Diceros bicornis minor: one gene and its partner. Each later gene encodes a partner of the first gene's protein in a complex. Links are inferred from orthologs where the notes say so. Each region holds a gene or a part of one and is shown in the gene's direction. Other genes may lie near its edges.

What was found.
Region 2: the proteins of RNASEH2A (region 1) and RNASEH2C are in contact, whole or in part, in a crystal structure (PDB 3PUF), measured with the Homo sapiens proteins. The link is inferred for Diceros bicornis minor from reciprocal best matches to the Homo sapiens genes RNASEH2A and RNASEH2C. Residues at the interface, in NP_006388.2 of Homo sapiens: Thr11, Asn99, Ser102, Thr103, Leu106, Gly107, Arg108, Val109, Val196, Glu197, Lys198, Leu199, Glu225, Pro226, Val227, Phe228, Gly229, Phe230, Pro231, Gln232, Phe236, Leu245, Ala249, Glu250, Asp251, Val252, Ile253, Trp254, Glu255, Asp256; in NP_115569.2 of Homo sapiens: Pro33, Cys34, Glu35, Val36, Ala37, Val38, Ala42, Pro43, Val44, Gly45, Arg46, Phe47, Phe48, Pro50, Ala51, Arg53, Ser62, Phe63, Arg64, Gly65, Arg66, Cys67, Leu68, Leu134, Glu135, Thr136, Lys143, Gly146, Ala147, Thr149.

The regions. Positions count from the first base shown.
Region 1 is NC_080769.1:4,554,238-4,562,052, reverse strand, and holds the start of RNASEH2A (ribonuclease H2 subunit A), read left to right. Parts: upstream 1-4,809; 5' UTR 4,810-4,826; coding exon 4,827-4,953; intron 4,954-5,121; coding exon 5,122-5,193; intron 5,194-5,311; coding exon 5,312-5,438; intron 5,439-5,538; coding exon 5,539-5,626; intron 5,627-7,009; coding exon 7,010-7,147; intron 7,148-7,251; coding exon 7,252-7,339; intron 7,340-7,815. Other genes in the region: PRDX2 (peroxiredoxin-2), read right to left, coding at 233-408, 530-652, 1,192-1,345, 1,430-1,532; THSD8 (thrombospondin type-1 domain-containing protein 8), read left to right, coding at 2,330-2,480, 3,571-3,770. UniProt on the Homo sapiens protein: Catalytic subunit of RNase HII, an endonuclease that specifically degrades the RNA of RNA:DNA hybrids. Participates in DNA replication, possibly by mediating the removal of lagging-strand Okazaki fragment RNA primers during DNA replication.
Region 2 is NC_080770.1:7,504,632-7,510,567, forward strand, and holds RNASEH2C (ribonuclease H2 subunit C), read left to right. Parts: upstream 1-4,211; 5' UTR 4,212-4,241; coding exon 4,242-4,413; intron 4,414-4,601; coding exon 4,602-4,774; intron 4,775-4,852; coding exon 4,853-4,972; intron 4,973-5,284; coding exon 5,285-5,311; 3' UTR 5,312-5,419; downstream 5,420-5,936. Other genes in the region: histone acetyltransferase KAT5, read right to left, coding at 5,892-5,936.

The DNA.
Region 1 (7,815 bases):
ACACCTTCTCAAATACCTTCTATGGAGCTTTATTACCTCCCAAGTCCCCCTCCTTGTATTGGGGTATGTCCCCCCAGACAAGAAACTTCCTGCAGACAAGACCCTGAGCTGACTCTTCTTTGGGGCCCCCACATCCAGCCCACACAAGTGATCGAGCAGTGAAGGTATGAGTGACAGAGGGGCTGAGCGTGTACCCGTGTGTGAACACACGTCAATGTGTGTGTCTGCTCACCTTCCCCGTGCTCGTCCGTGTACTGGAAGGCCTGGACCAGCCGCAGAGCCTCGTCCACAGAGCGCCCCACAGGCAGATCATTGATGGTGATCTGGCGAAGGACACCCTTGCCATCGATGATAAAGAGGCCCCTGAAGATATCAGCGTTCATGGTGAGGAGCTGGGAGCTCCCACTGCTAGGGCCAGGGGAGGGAGCACGGACTGTCTGCCAGCCACAGAGTTGTGGGCAGGGAGGGTATCGTCCAACAGTGGTCCCCTCGCCGTGAGGATGGGGGCTCCCTGAAGGCCCCACGGTACCTGTAGGCGATGCCTTCATCTTCTTTCAGCACGCCATAATCGCGGGACAAGCTTCTGGTTACATCGGCCAGCAGGGGGATGTTCAGGGGGCCCAAGCCTCCCTCCTTCCGGGGGGTGTTGATCCTGGGGGTGGGGGAGACAGGGCGAGGACCTCAAGAGGCCTGGCACAGCAGGGTCCTCACCTTGTGGGCCTGGGGGTGATAAGGGCTGGAGAGCGGGTGCTGGAGGCGAGAGATAAGGGGCTTTAGAGGGAGGCCCTGGGAGCCTCACCCACCCCACCCTGAAGTGGCGGTTTCCCACAGCTGGGAAGACTAAGCTAATGCTCCAGCAAAGTGGCTTCACGTGCTGGCGGCCTCCAGCATCTTGAGGCAGACAGCCTGCCTTAGAGTCCCCATTTTCTTCTCTAGCTCTGCGTGCTGGGGCCTGGCCTTTCACTCCCTTGAACTGGAGTTTCCACCTTCTTGAAATAGTGCTTGGGAGGGAGGCTGGGTTGCCCCAAGAGAGAGAAAGCATCTGAAACTCTACACAGCAACTAGTTTCCCAATGCTAATTACTGCCATCATCATTTCCAAGACGGGAAAGGGAGGCACCACAGCTGCCTCGGGCCCTACAGAGGTGTAAGCTTAGCCTCTCCCACTCTCCCACCTGGCCCCCGCTCCTACCAAGCCAGGTGGGTGAACTGCGAGTCGACCGAGACCCCCAACACCTCGCAGCCCAGGTTGCGGAAGTCCGCAGCACGCTCGCTGAAAGCGATGATCTCCGTGGGGCACACGAAGGTGAAGTCCAGCGGGTAGAAGAAGAGGACTACGTATTTCCCTGGGGGCGGGGGCGCACAGACGGGGAGTTAGACCGCTAAAGCCTGGGCCCCGCCCCCACCTGGCCCCTCCAGGCCGCCCTCACCTCTGTAGTCGGAAAGCTTCACCTCCTTGAAGGCGCCATCCACCACCGCGGTGGCGTGGAAGTCCGGGGCGGGCTTTCCGATGTGCGCTTTGCAGCAGACCATGACTGAAAGCTGAGACCCCCGCCCGGTCAGTGCGCCCGGGCAGACCCCTTGTCCTCCCTCCCCAAGGTCACGCTGCGTGCTGGGCCGGTGACCGAGGCCGAGCGGCGAGGCGGCAGCACCGTCCCCGCACCCTCCCGGGATCGGCTCTGCGCCGCCTGGAGGCTGCGGGAGACCCACCCCCTGGCCAGAGCGCGAGTGGCCCGGCCGCGGCCGCAGGGCCCGCCACGAGTGGGTCGGCCCGAGCGCGGTGGCGCAAGCCCACCGCCCAGGGAGGGGACCCCGGGAGCGGGGGGCGGGAACTCGGCGATGCGGCCTGTACGCCAAGGCTCTGGCCTCGGTTTCCCCTGCAAGGACAAAGGCGGCCACTGTGGCGGGCAGGAAACAAAGGCGGCCAGCGCTGAGGTCTAGAGAGGGCCGGAGCTACTCCAAAAGGTCCCCCCAAGACCGTGCAGTCCGGGTGTCCATACCTGCGTGGGCAAGGGCGGGACGCACGGACAAGCACACACCCGAGCTCGCGTTCTCAGCGCCAAGCGCGCCCCAGGCCGCTGAGCCTTTTATGCGCCGCCGGAACCGTGACGCGCAGGGCGGGGGGTGGGCGGACGAGCCGAGCGGTCGGGTCCACTGCAACCGCAGGGGAGGGGGAGCGGAGCCGGCCGGGTCCACGCGCCTGCGGGCGGCGGGGGGAGCGCGCAGCCGCGGGCCCCCACCACTGCGCCCGCCCCCGGGGATCGGGCGGGCACCGCGGACCCCGCGCGGGGCTCCTCCTCGGAGCGCGCCGGGGTCGGTTGGAGTCCGGCATGGCCCCGAGCCGAGCGGCGCTACTGCTGCCGCCTCTGATGCTCCTGCTGCTGGCGACCCCTGCCCAGGTCTCCCCCGACTACCATTACTTTGGCGAGCAGGGCGAAGGCGACACCTGGGAGCAGCTGCGGCTGCAGCATCAGGAGAAAGGTAACCGCAGGCCGCGGGTGTGACGGTGCAGAAAGGTGCCCGTTGCCCCACTTCGCCAGCTGGCTGCAAACAGACCCTTCTCTGGGGACTTCAAATCCCTGCCCAGCTGCGCCCACGCGGGACCCCCTTGGGCTGGTTACTTTTCTCTGAGGCTCAGTCTCCTCATCTGTAAATTGAAATAGAAACTGCCCGTAAGCAGCTTACAGGGGGAAAGGAGACGTGGGCAGGTGAGACATACCGGAGCAGACACATCCGTAAACTCACGGTTAGGTACATTTCTGAAGTTAGAGAAGGTCCCGCTAAAAAAAAGATAGGTGACCACTGCAGCCAGAATGACAAGCAAAAGCCAAAAATGCAAAGATTTAGGGGGAAGAGTGTGCAAGAGAGTGGGAACAGCAGGTGCTAAGGCCAAAAGGCCTGAAGGAGGGATGGAAAGTGGCCATTATTGTCTGGCGGAGGCTTGGGGAGGGCCTGAGGTGTCAGGACTCTGGGAGCCACAGAGTTGGGTTAAGACTGTCTCATAGGACACATAGAGGAGTCAGCAAAAGAACATTGTAAAGGGCATCGAATAACCGCTTCAAATAACTTGTAGCTGCTTGAAATGTGATCATAATAATTGTTTTTGTTCTACGTGTGAGCCCACGGCCAGGAGCTTTAAGTACCTTCATTATGCCAATTATGTCATTTAATTTACCACCTGGCAGCCCTGCTGGTCAGGCGGCACTGTGCCCGCTGGACAGGCCCATGCTCACGCCCCTGGAAACAGGAGCCAGCTTCAGATGGTGGCCACCAAGGGTGTTGTACCACACTCCCAACTGGGCAGGCTAGCACAAGTGGGAAGTGTCAGTGTGCAGTCTGTCTGGGCCCCTCACCAGATGTGCGAGCTCAGAAGGGTGGCTTTGTCTTTGTAGGTGTGTTTCCCCACCTGGGAATAATGGGAAGATTAAATGAGACAATCTATGGTGGGGTGCCTGACACAGGCAGAGCCCAGCACACAGGAGCTGTTGTTATTTGTTAGTGTCTTTATCCTCCTCCCTCCCCAGAGGAGGGCATGGGAGTAGATCCCCTCTACCTGGCTCTCCATCCCTAGAGGTGGAGAACTCGATCTTTGGCCCGTGGGGAAAGTGGCGCTGTTTGTGCGACGTGGGCAAGCAGGAGCGCAGCCGCGAGGTGGTGGGCGCAGCCCTGGGCCCGGTGTTCATGGACCGCGAGAACCTGGTGCAGGTGCGGCCCTGCAGGCAACGGGATTGTTCATCCTGCAAGCCGATGGACTGCGACTGGAGGCCCTGAGCCTGGGTGAGAGACGGGCGCAGAGGAGGCGGGGCCGGGGCGGGCCGGCAAGTGCGGCGCCGCGAGTCCCCAGGGTGGGCAGGAAGAGAGGAAAGGAGAAATCGGGCCCTGAGTCTGGGGCTAGAGGGTGGTGGGGGAGGGGAGAGCTGAGTCAGGAGATGTGAGCCCCGCTGATTCCGCGAGGAAGGTGGGGTGGGGAACGGAGGCGGAGGAGCTGGACCCTGAGGAAGGGGCATGAGCCTGGTGAGGGGCAGGGACCCACAGGCCGAGGACGTGAGCCCCCTGAGACTAGAGAATAGAAGGGGAGGTGAGGTCGGAGGGGCGGTAGGGGGGAAATGAACCCTGAGTTGGGGGATATGAGCCTGCGTGGGGGGCAGAGACTCTGAGCAGGATCTGTTGAGTCTGGGGTCTCGGTTCGGGGTAGGCGAGGCTTAGCCCGAAAGAGAGAGGGTAGGAATCAGGGGGCGGGGCGGGGGGAGTGGGGATCCGGGTGAGGTACGGAGAGAGGGAATTGGCAGACCCCAAGTCCGAAGGCCTGAGCCCAGTGGGGGCAGTGATACCTAGTCCAGGGGGCTTAGACTGTGTGCAGTGGCGGCGATCCCGAGTACAAACGGCCTGAATGCACGTGGGAGACAGGGATCCAGTGATGCGGAGACCCGTATTCTAGGAGGACAGTAGTATTTGACCTTCTAGGCCCTGACTGGCCTGGGTTCTGCAAAGCCTGCCTTCATCTCGGGTTTATTTCCTTCTCTCACCAGCCCGGGCGAGCGAGGCTGCAGAGACCCCGCGGCGGAGCTCAGAAAGCGACCCCACCCATCCGGTTCCCCAAACGTGGAGCTCGGCGGTCGGCCTTGGGAACTACAATTCCCAGGAAGCCAGGAGGCAGCGGCGTAGGCGTCGGCGACGCCAACGTCCACGGCGGCGGGAGCGTCGGGGGCGTGTCCTGCGCGCCGATTGGTCGGGAGCGAGCGCCGCTGCGGGGCCCGCGGAAAACGCGCGCCGAGACCTGCCCCTGCGGAGCTGGTTGCTGCGGCTGGTGGCGGCGGCCGAGGCGGCATGGATCTCAGCGAGCTGGAGAGAGACAATACGGGCCGCTGTCGCCTGAGCTCGCCTGTGCCCGCGGTGTGCCGCAAGGAGCCCTGCGCCCTGGGCGTCGATGAAGCGGGCCGGGGCCCGGTGCTGGGTGCGCCCCCAGGGCCGGGGCGGGGAGGGGCGTGGTCAGGGGGATGCAAGTTGCACTAAAACGGGAGCCGGGATTGCCCCGGCCCCGGGGACGGGGGTGATAGTGGTGGTGGTGGAACGGGGATGGCCGCCTTCACGGCCTCACTGCTTGGACCCCCCGCTTCCCCAGGCCCCATGGTCTACGCCATCTGTTATTGCCCCCTGTCCCGCCTGGCAGATCTGGAGGCCCTGAAAGTGGCAGGTGAGCCCGAGGTGCACGTCTGGGGAGGGTGTACCTGGGCCTGTGCAGGGGCGCGGTGGGGCTCGGGGAGGGACTGGAAGAACCAGCCGCTCCGCTTCTCTCCCAACCTTCTTCCCAGACTCAAAGACCCTGTCGGAGAGCGAGCGGGACAGGCTCTTCGCGAAAATGAAGGAGGACAGGGACTTTGTGGGCTGGGCACTGGACGTGCTGTCTCCAAACCTCATCTCTACCAGCATGCTTGGGCGGTGAGGGTCCTAGGAGGGGCCAGGATGGAGGGGCGGCCAGCATGGGCTGGCAGGGATCGGTAGCTGGGACGGGGTTAACTGGACTCTGTCCTCACTGCAGGGTCAAATACAATCTGAACTCTCTGTCCCATGATACAGCCGCCGGGCTGGTGCAGTATGCTTTGGACCAGGGCGTGCAGGTCGCCAAGGTGAGCTGTTGGGTTGCCCTCGTTTGATCAGCTCCAGATAAAACGGTATAAAAGTTCAGTGGCTGATTCAGCGTCAGACATATCTGGAACAGTGTCAGACGGATCAGGAACATTTGTTGCTGCTGTTGCCTTCCTGCTGCTTTCCCATCCTAAATGTGTGCCCTACTGAGCACCATGGTAGACCCCCCAGCCCCACCCCCAACTAATCTATCTCTGTATCCTAAAGGCTCAGACTCCAGAACAAATCCCACATCTGTCCACCTGCCCACAGCCTCTGTCCTTGCCCAGGGCACCCTGGCCTCCCGGATGCCTGCCCCGTCCTCCTCCCTGATCCCCCCACCTCCAGCCCCCTCCCTTGCAATCTGCTCCATACACAGCAGCAGCAGACAGTCATCTTTTTGAAATGTAAATCTCGACATTTAATTTTTTGATCACGGTGGAAATTAAATCAGGAAAATTCACAGGCAAGTAGGGGAGAATGAGATTAAATTACCAGAAATATAAGTTGGCATTGCATCGAGTGCTCTGAGGCAAAGAACGGGCTGTTTTGAGAGACTAATGAGGACAAATACACTTGAGACGGGGAATGTAACAAGGGAGACCTTGCTGACGAGGTGGCTGAGGTCCAGGACTAGACTGTGGAGCTGACGAGACAGTACTGGAGCAGACAGACGAGGGCCCTGTTCTCAGGGTTCATGGCCAGTCGGGTGAGACAGTGGTCAGCTGATGAGCAAATAAAAAGGTGATTTAAGAACAATAGTGCTAGGGAGGTCACCTTCCGTGTTACCTCCCTGACCTCATCTCTGCTCCAGCCATAGGGCCTGCGTACTGCTGTCCAGCATCCTCGACGTGGTCCCACCTCAGTGCCTTTGCACTGGCTGTTTCTTCTGCCTAGAACACTCTTTTGCAGATCTCCATGTGGCTCATTCCCTCACCTCCTTCAGGCCTTTATTCAGATGTCGCCACTTCAGAGTGACCTTCCCCAAACCTCCCCCCCCACTGTTTAAAATTATAACCCTTTCTGACTCTGCCTTATCCTTTATTATGTACCGTGTTTCCTGTCTGTGGTCCTCACCAAGGTGTCCCCTCGAGGAGGACAGAGATTTTTGTCTGGCGTTTTCCCTGCATGTCCCTGGCACATAGAGCAGCCCATGGCGCACAGTAGGTGCTCAGTAAATGTAGAATGGCTGCGGCGTGATCAGAGAAGCCTCTGTGGGAGGTGGCGTCTGAGCTGAGACCCTGATGGAAAGCTGCAGCCTGGGGATGAGCTGAGAGGAGAGTGTCTTAGGCGGCGGGAACAACGAGGGCGAAGACTGGGAAGGTGGATTGTTTGCAGTTTTTCCAGCTGTCTGTTGAATGGATACATTTCTGTCACCGCGGCAGGTATTTGTGGACACCGTGGGGATGCCAGAGACGTACCAGCAGCGGCTGCAGCAGCGCTTTCCCGGCGTTGAGGTGACGGTCAAGGCCAAGGCCGACGCCCTCTACCCCGTGGTCAGCGCTGCCAGCATCTGTGCCAAGGTCAGTCCCCCGCTGGCCGTGGCCGGCTCCCAGCACCCTCCTGGCAGGGGGCAGGTGTGGCTGCCTCGGGGGAGGGAGGTCCCCAGTGTCTGTCTTGCTTGCAGGTGGCCCGAGACCAGGCTGTGAGGAACTGGCAGTTTGTGGAGAAACTGCAGGACTTGGACGCCGATTATGGCTCGGGCTACCCCAACGGTGAGCAGGTGGCCGTCCGGCCCGCCTCGTGCTGCCCTGAGGCAGCCGCAGCGGTGGTGACACGGACAGGCCCAGCACGCTGCTGAGGTTTTCTAAGTTCTGCTCACCCCGCTTCGCAGCGGGGGATGCTGGGGGCCCCTTGGTTACGGCCGGTGTGTGGCGGAGCTGGGTCCCAGCTGGCAGGCTCCCTCCTGTCTCCCTCCCTCGATGCTGGCTCTCTGGAGCCGCAGGGAGGGTGGGCCTCTGTCTCTTTGTGAAGGGGCAGGAGTGAGGGGCGCCAGCTTAAATCCATTGTTTTCTCTCCATTATGAGGCTCAGTCTCATCTGTGTAGTGGAGACAATCGTGTCCCCCACCCCGCACACACACAAGGGCAGATGTGAGATTCAGTGGCCGGATTCAAGGGACCCTTGGGTCCTCTGAGGCACAGGGAGGGAGTGGCCGTCGGGTGGGGTGACACAGCAAGTCTGTGATTGGA
Region 2 (5,936 bases), on another chromosome or scaffold:
AGTCTTGCCAAAAAAGAAAAAAAACTGCACCTGAATCTGATCAAGCGTGAACATAGGTTCATCCTCAACAAAATATTAGGAAATTGAATTCAATATACATAAATTTATGCTAATACTTTAAAAGAGTAAACAATGGAAAGATAAACTAAAATATTTTTCAAGGTTTCTCAGAAAGGGCAGGAGAGAACAGGTGGAGGGAGAGCTGTAGGTTTCTCTAAATATATCTGCCAGGGAGAGGCAGAGAGGAGGCAGGGAGAGGCAGTAGGTTTCTCTAAACATATCTTACTTTGTCGGTTTGACCTGTGGTGGGCGAGTGATTAAGATCGGTGCTCTCACCGCCTCCGCCCAGGTTCATTTTCCAGTCAGAGAACCAGATCACATTGGCTGTCATACTGTGGCAGCTGCGTGCTGCTGTGATGCTGAGAGCTATGCTACCAGTATTTCAAATACCAGCAGGGTCCCCCATGGGGGACAGGTTTCAGTGGAGCTTCCAGACTAGACAGACTGGGAAGAAGGACCTGAATACCAACTTCCGAAAAAATTGTCTCCGAAAACCCCATGACTACCAGCGGAGCCGTGTCGGATACAGCGCCTGAGGACGAAAGGATGGCTCGAGAAGAGCAGGCAGGGCTCCCTCACTGCACACAGGATCACTAGGAGTCGGAATCGACTCCACGGCACTAACAAGAGATTTGACTTTGGAAACATGTAAATAATCACATAGTTATAAAGCAAAAGTAAATTTTTAAAAAGCTATCTCAAAAAGTTAAAAGCAAACTGAAACTGATCCTAACCATGTATCCAGGTGGTGGTCTAACCACAGAGAGAACTATTTCAAGTGATTAAAAACAGTAATTTGAGGGGCTGGCCCTGTGGTGCAAGCGGTTAAGTGCTCGCGCTCTGCTGCGGCGGCCCGGGTTTCACCGGTTCGGATCCCAGACGTGCACCGACGCACCGCTCGTGGAGCCATGCTGTGGTGGCGTCCCATATAAAGTAGAGGAAGATGGGCACGGATGTTAGCCCAGGGCCAGTCTTCCTCAGCAAAAAAAGAGGAGGATTGGCAGATGTTAGCTCAGGGCCGATCTTCCTCACAGACACACAAAAAAACAGTACTTTGATCGTACATCTCCAGTGGAATATACCTTAAGGGAAAAAAGAACTACAAAAAAAAAAATTCTTAAACTGTGTTTGATCATCATATTGTTAGCTACAGTGTTGTCGTTCTTCTTCTGAGATTGTTGTGTATGTAGCGTGCAGAAACAAGATACAAATGCAAGAGCAATGAGGTTAGTAGGAACCCTGTAGTCCTAGAAATAACAGTATGAACTCATGAGGTATTTTCTCTTTAAAAGCACGAAATACACATTTCCTAGCTTTGTTCACTGAAAACATCTAGAAACAATAGCCAACTGAGTAGCAATGAGCACATCTGGTGTCAGATTGGATTAGTAAATATCATTTCCTAGCAAAAGGGACCAGAGATCCTTGGAGAAATGGATGATTCCAAGTCTAGGGCAGGAACTGTAGTAGATGAGCCAGGGACATCTTGTGGTTCCAGAAAACAAGGAAACCTATAAAAGACTACTAGGGTCACATCAAAAGATGTGCTAACTGGAAGAGGCTCCCAGTGGCAACAGATTGGACAATTTGAGCATCAAGAAGAAGAATAACCACAACTAACTGAAACATATCAAAATGTTAAAAATTCAATATTTAATAATGATACTTTTTTTAAAGGTCACGGTTGGAGCATGCTAGGGAAACAACTTATTATTTTAAAAACTGGGACATAAAAGGAAAAAATCAAGCAATTATTTTGCCCTTCTTGTACTCACCATACCAATGGGCAACCAAATAGTTGGTGAGGGGGAGTTTTCTTTATAGAAGTATTCCAGCTAGTAAATGAAGACAAAGTGGCGGACTTCGAATCTCAGTTTTGTAACTTCTAATGAATTAAAGGATCTAGGCCATCATCATCTATGGCTGCTAAAAAGACAGACACGAGGTATTATGTCCCTCCTGCTGGAAAACACACACCTCCTTTGAAGCAGTCTTGCCCCCTAAAAAAAGAATCTGATGAAGCTTCTAGATCTAATTACTAATTTACAGGAAATACAGGGCAGATGAACACGACAATACAGGAATGCAATCACTAAAATCCAGGCTATGAGAAACTTACAAGATCAAATACATAAAAATAAAATCCAATAGCTACTCCAGAGTTAAAAAACCCTGAGTAGTACAGTTTTAATGAGACATGTAACAAATCGAAAGACAGTGTCCTGATTATTGGTGAAACAGCAAAAGCATTCTCATGCAAGTTTCAGGAAAAAGAAAAGGATGTCCACTGATACTAGTAAGACTGGAGATTGTTCCCACAGTGCTAGAAAAGGAAACAAACTACACGATGTAATGAGGAGGCAAAACTATCATTATTTGGAAGTGAGATGACTAACTCTGGGAGACCCAAGAAAATAAAATGAAAACTCTCAGGAATAGCAAAAGAACTGAGTAGATATCCAAGTAAAAAATTAATTGTAAGAATCAACGGCTTTCTTGAAAACTATGGCCTGCAGGCCAATCCAGCCCACTGCCTGTTTTTGCAAATAAAGTTTTATCGGAACACAGCCATGCTTATTCATTTACATATTGTCTATGGCTGTTTTTATGCTACAGTGACAAAGTTGAGAAATTGTGACACAGAGCATATGTGAGGTTTGCCAAGCTTTGCTATAGATAAATAATAATGTTAGAAAATAAAATTAAGAAAAAAAAGATCTAATTTGTAATAGAAATGAATATAAGCTATCAGGAATAAACTTTAAAATATATAATAACTATTATATATGAAGAAAACAACTGTACAGACATAAAAGGGGATATGAATAAATGGTATTAGGTGTCTCATTCTTGATAGAAAACCAAAGCAAGACTCTAAATTAAATTGTCGATACTCTGCAGCCAAAGACCACCAGGAATACATCCATACCTGAACAAATGGGTTTACTACTGTCGTACTGTGGGGCATCTCAGTAAGGGGGGTCAGGAAGCATTTATAGGATTTGGGCTTGTGTTAGGTGATTTAGGGAGGTTTAAGGAAGCAGGGCTTTTCTCTGGACTGGATGTTGTCAGCAAGTGGGAGGATTTCTGTGATGGGATATGTTAACAAATCTTAACTAGACAGAGGCTACAGCTGTAATTGGTAAAGAAGCAACGGTCACATATATTCTCCGAGAAAGAGGGATGTTTCCTCATTTTTGTGGTTTGGACAATATTCGTGCCTTTGTTGGTGTTCACGTGATTTCGCAGTGATCTTGTTTTTGTCTTGATACCTCATGTCACAGAGGGACTTTGTCTGATGTTGATGATCTGTGAAATCGTTCATGTTCAACAGAACACCAAGGCCAGCTCCTGGATGCCAGGGATGTTTTTCTCTATCTCAAATCTAAATTAAATGCAATTTAATCTTGATCACCAGTTTTGTATGTGTTTTGTTTTATGAGAGAACTTGACAAAGCATATCTAAATTAGGTATCTGAACAAATAAACAGTAGAGAAGAGTTTAAGAAACCAAAAAAGAGGGCCGGCCCTGTGGCTTAGCGGTTAAGTGCACCCGCTCTGCTGCTGGCAGCCGGGGCTTGGGATCCAGGGCGCACACCCACGCACCACTTCTCCGGCCATGCTGGGGCCACAGCCCACATACAGCAGCTGGAAGGATGTGCAGCTATGACATGCAACTGTCTACTGGGGCTTTGGGGGGGAAAACACACACACACACACACACACACACACACACACACACACACGAGAGCACTGAGAAAACTGAGATATAAAAGGTTGATAAACTTGACTATGAAAAATAAAAGTCTTCTGTGTAATAAAAATCACCCATACACGGGTTTAGAAGACAAGCTACAAACTCGGATAAAATATCTTCAACACATTTGAGGAAGGGCTGCTATCACTAGTAAAAACAAACAAACTCCCTACCAATCAACATAAAAAGTGTACTTCTGGGAATCGTTTTAATTTTTTTACAGTAAGAATGTACAACTGAAAAATTTTCAAGGGAAAAAAGCGGAGACTTGAACACAGAGACCCGGGCGTAGCAGAGGAGCTTCAGGGAAGGACTACGCTTCCCAGGAGGCTCTGCGCTGACTGTCCCCGGCTCCCGACAGGCTCCGCGCGCTTTCCGCGCCAGTTTGGGCCTTACTTAGCGAGCAACCGAATCGCGCCGGAGGATGGAGAGCAGTGACGAAGCAGCCGTCCAGAAGCACCGCATCCACTTACGCCCCGTCTCGCTCCGCGACGCCGCCCCCGTCACGCTGCACCTTCTGCCCTGCGAGGTCCCAGTTAACCAGCCCGCCCCCGTGGGGCGCTTCTTCACCCCGGCCATCCGCCAGGGTCCCGCCGGTGAGCGCTCGCGGCCGGACTACGGCTCCCGGCAGCCCCCGCGCCGGCGCCGCGCTCTTCTCGGCAAGGAGCGGCGCGAGAGCTCCTGGGGATCGTAGTCCACCGGAGGTGGCGGAGGGCCGCCGCCGGGCTTGCCCCGCAAGGCCTGGATCAGGCCCTCACTAAGGCGCTGCGCCTGCCTTCTCCAGGACTCGAAGTGTCGTTTCGGGGCCGCAAACTACGGGGCGAGGAGCTGGTGCTGCCGCCCGGCCTCGTGGGATACGTGATGGTGATGGAAGAAAAGCAGGACTTCTCGGAGGCTCCGGAAAATGACGACGAGCAGGAGCTGGTGGAACCCCCGGAGGCGCTGGAGCGGGACTTCGTGAGCAAAGGGGCACAGGGTTGGAAGGGGGTGCGGGCGGGAGCGCGGCCCCCGTGCTGAGCCGAGCCCCTTCCCCAGGACTGCTTTATCGGAGCCACTGCTAGTTTCAGCCGCTTCACTCTGTGGGGCCTGGAGACCATCCCCGGCCCGGATGCCAAAGTGCGCGGGGCCCTAACCTGGCCCAGCCTCGCTGCAGCGGTGAGTAGATGGATGGTCCCCTTCCGCCCAGGCCCCATCCGTTCCCCTTCTGACTTCAAGGTGATTTCCTGGGTTGTCCAGAATCTTGCTCCTCAGCAGATATGGGGCTTTCGGCCTGGGCAGTACAGTGGGGCAGATGGAGCCCGGGTCTGCTGGAGCACTGGACTGGGCAAGGGCAGGGTGGCTTCCCCAGCACTCTTCTCTGGCCTGTCTAGAAGAGACTATCACAGAGCAGCCGGGTCCCTCCCCAAGTATGTGAGCTACCCAGCCGCTCTCTCAGAAATCCAATAGCAGAGGTGACTCCTGTTGCAGATCCACTCACAGGTGCCCGAGGACTGAGAACCAGAGCTTGAAATTGAAAGCCACTGATCCCTTCAGCCCAATTAACCAGCTCTTCACTTCGGAGCCACTGATTCCATCACCCCAATAAACGAGTTCTTCACAGCACCTGTGAGTTTTCCAGCATCTTGGAGCCCCTAAGCCGGCACTGCCCAGTCTCCCACAAGAGACTCTGACCTATACAAACAATTTATTGCCAGGGGGCAAGAGAGGCCAGAATTTAGCAGCCAGTACCCACCCCACCCCCAACTCCTACTTTACAAAAGAAATTTTTACAGCCACCAGCCTTCTGTACAGAGCACCCCCACGCCTGTCTCACTGTACACAGCTGCCCGGCTCTCTCTGGTCCCTGGTTCACAGCAGGCCTGGGCCTGCAGCGAGCTGACCTTGGAGTTGACCTGAGCCCTGAGCTCGCCTCGGTGCTGGGTACCAGCTGGCCCCTACCAGGCCTGTCCTCCTTGTGGAGCTGTCCTCAGCCCCGTCTCCCTTGGTGTGCCTCTTGGGGGCCTCAGTGGGCGTGGGATGGGCTGTCAGCCCCAGTTCTGCCGGCTTTGTTGGCACTGCCACAGGCAGTGCCTGGTCACCACTTTCCCCTCTTGCTCCAGTCCTTGGGAGTGAAGTGGAG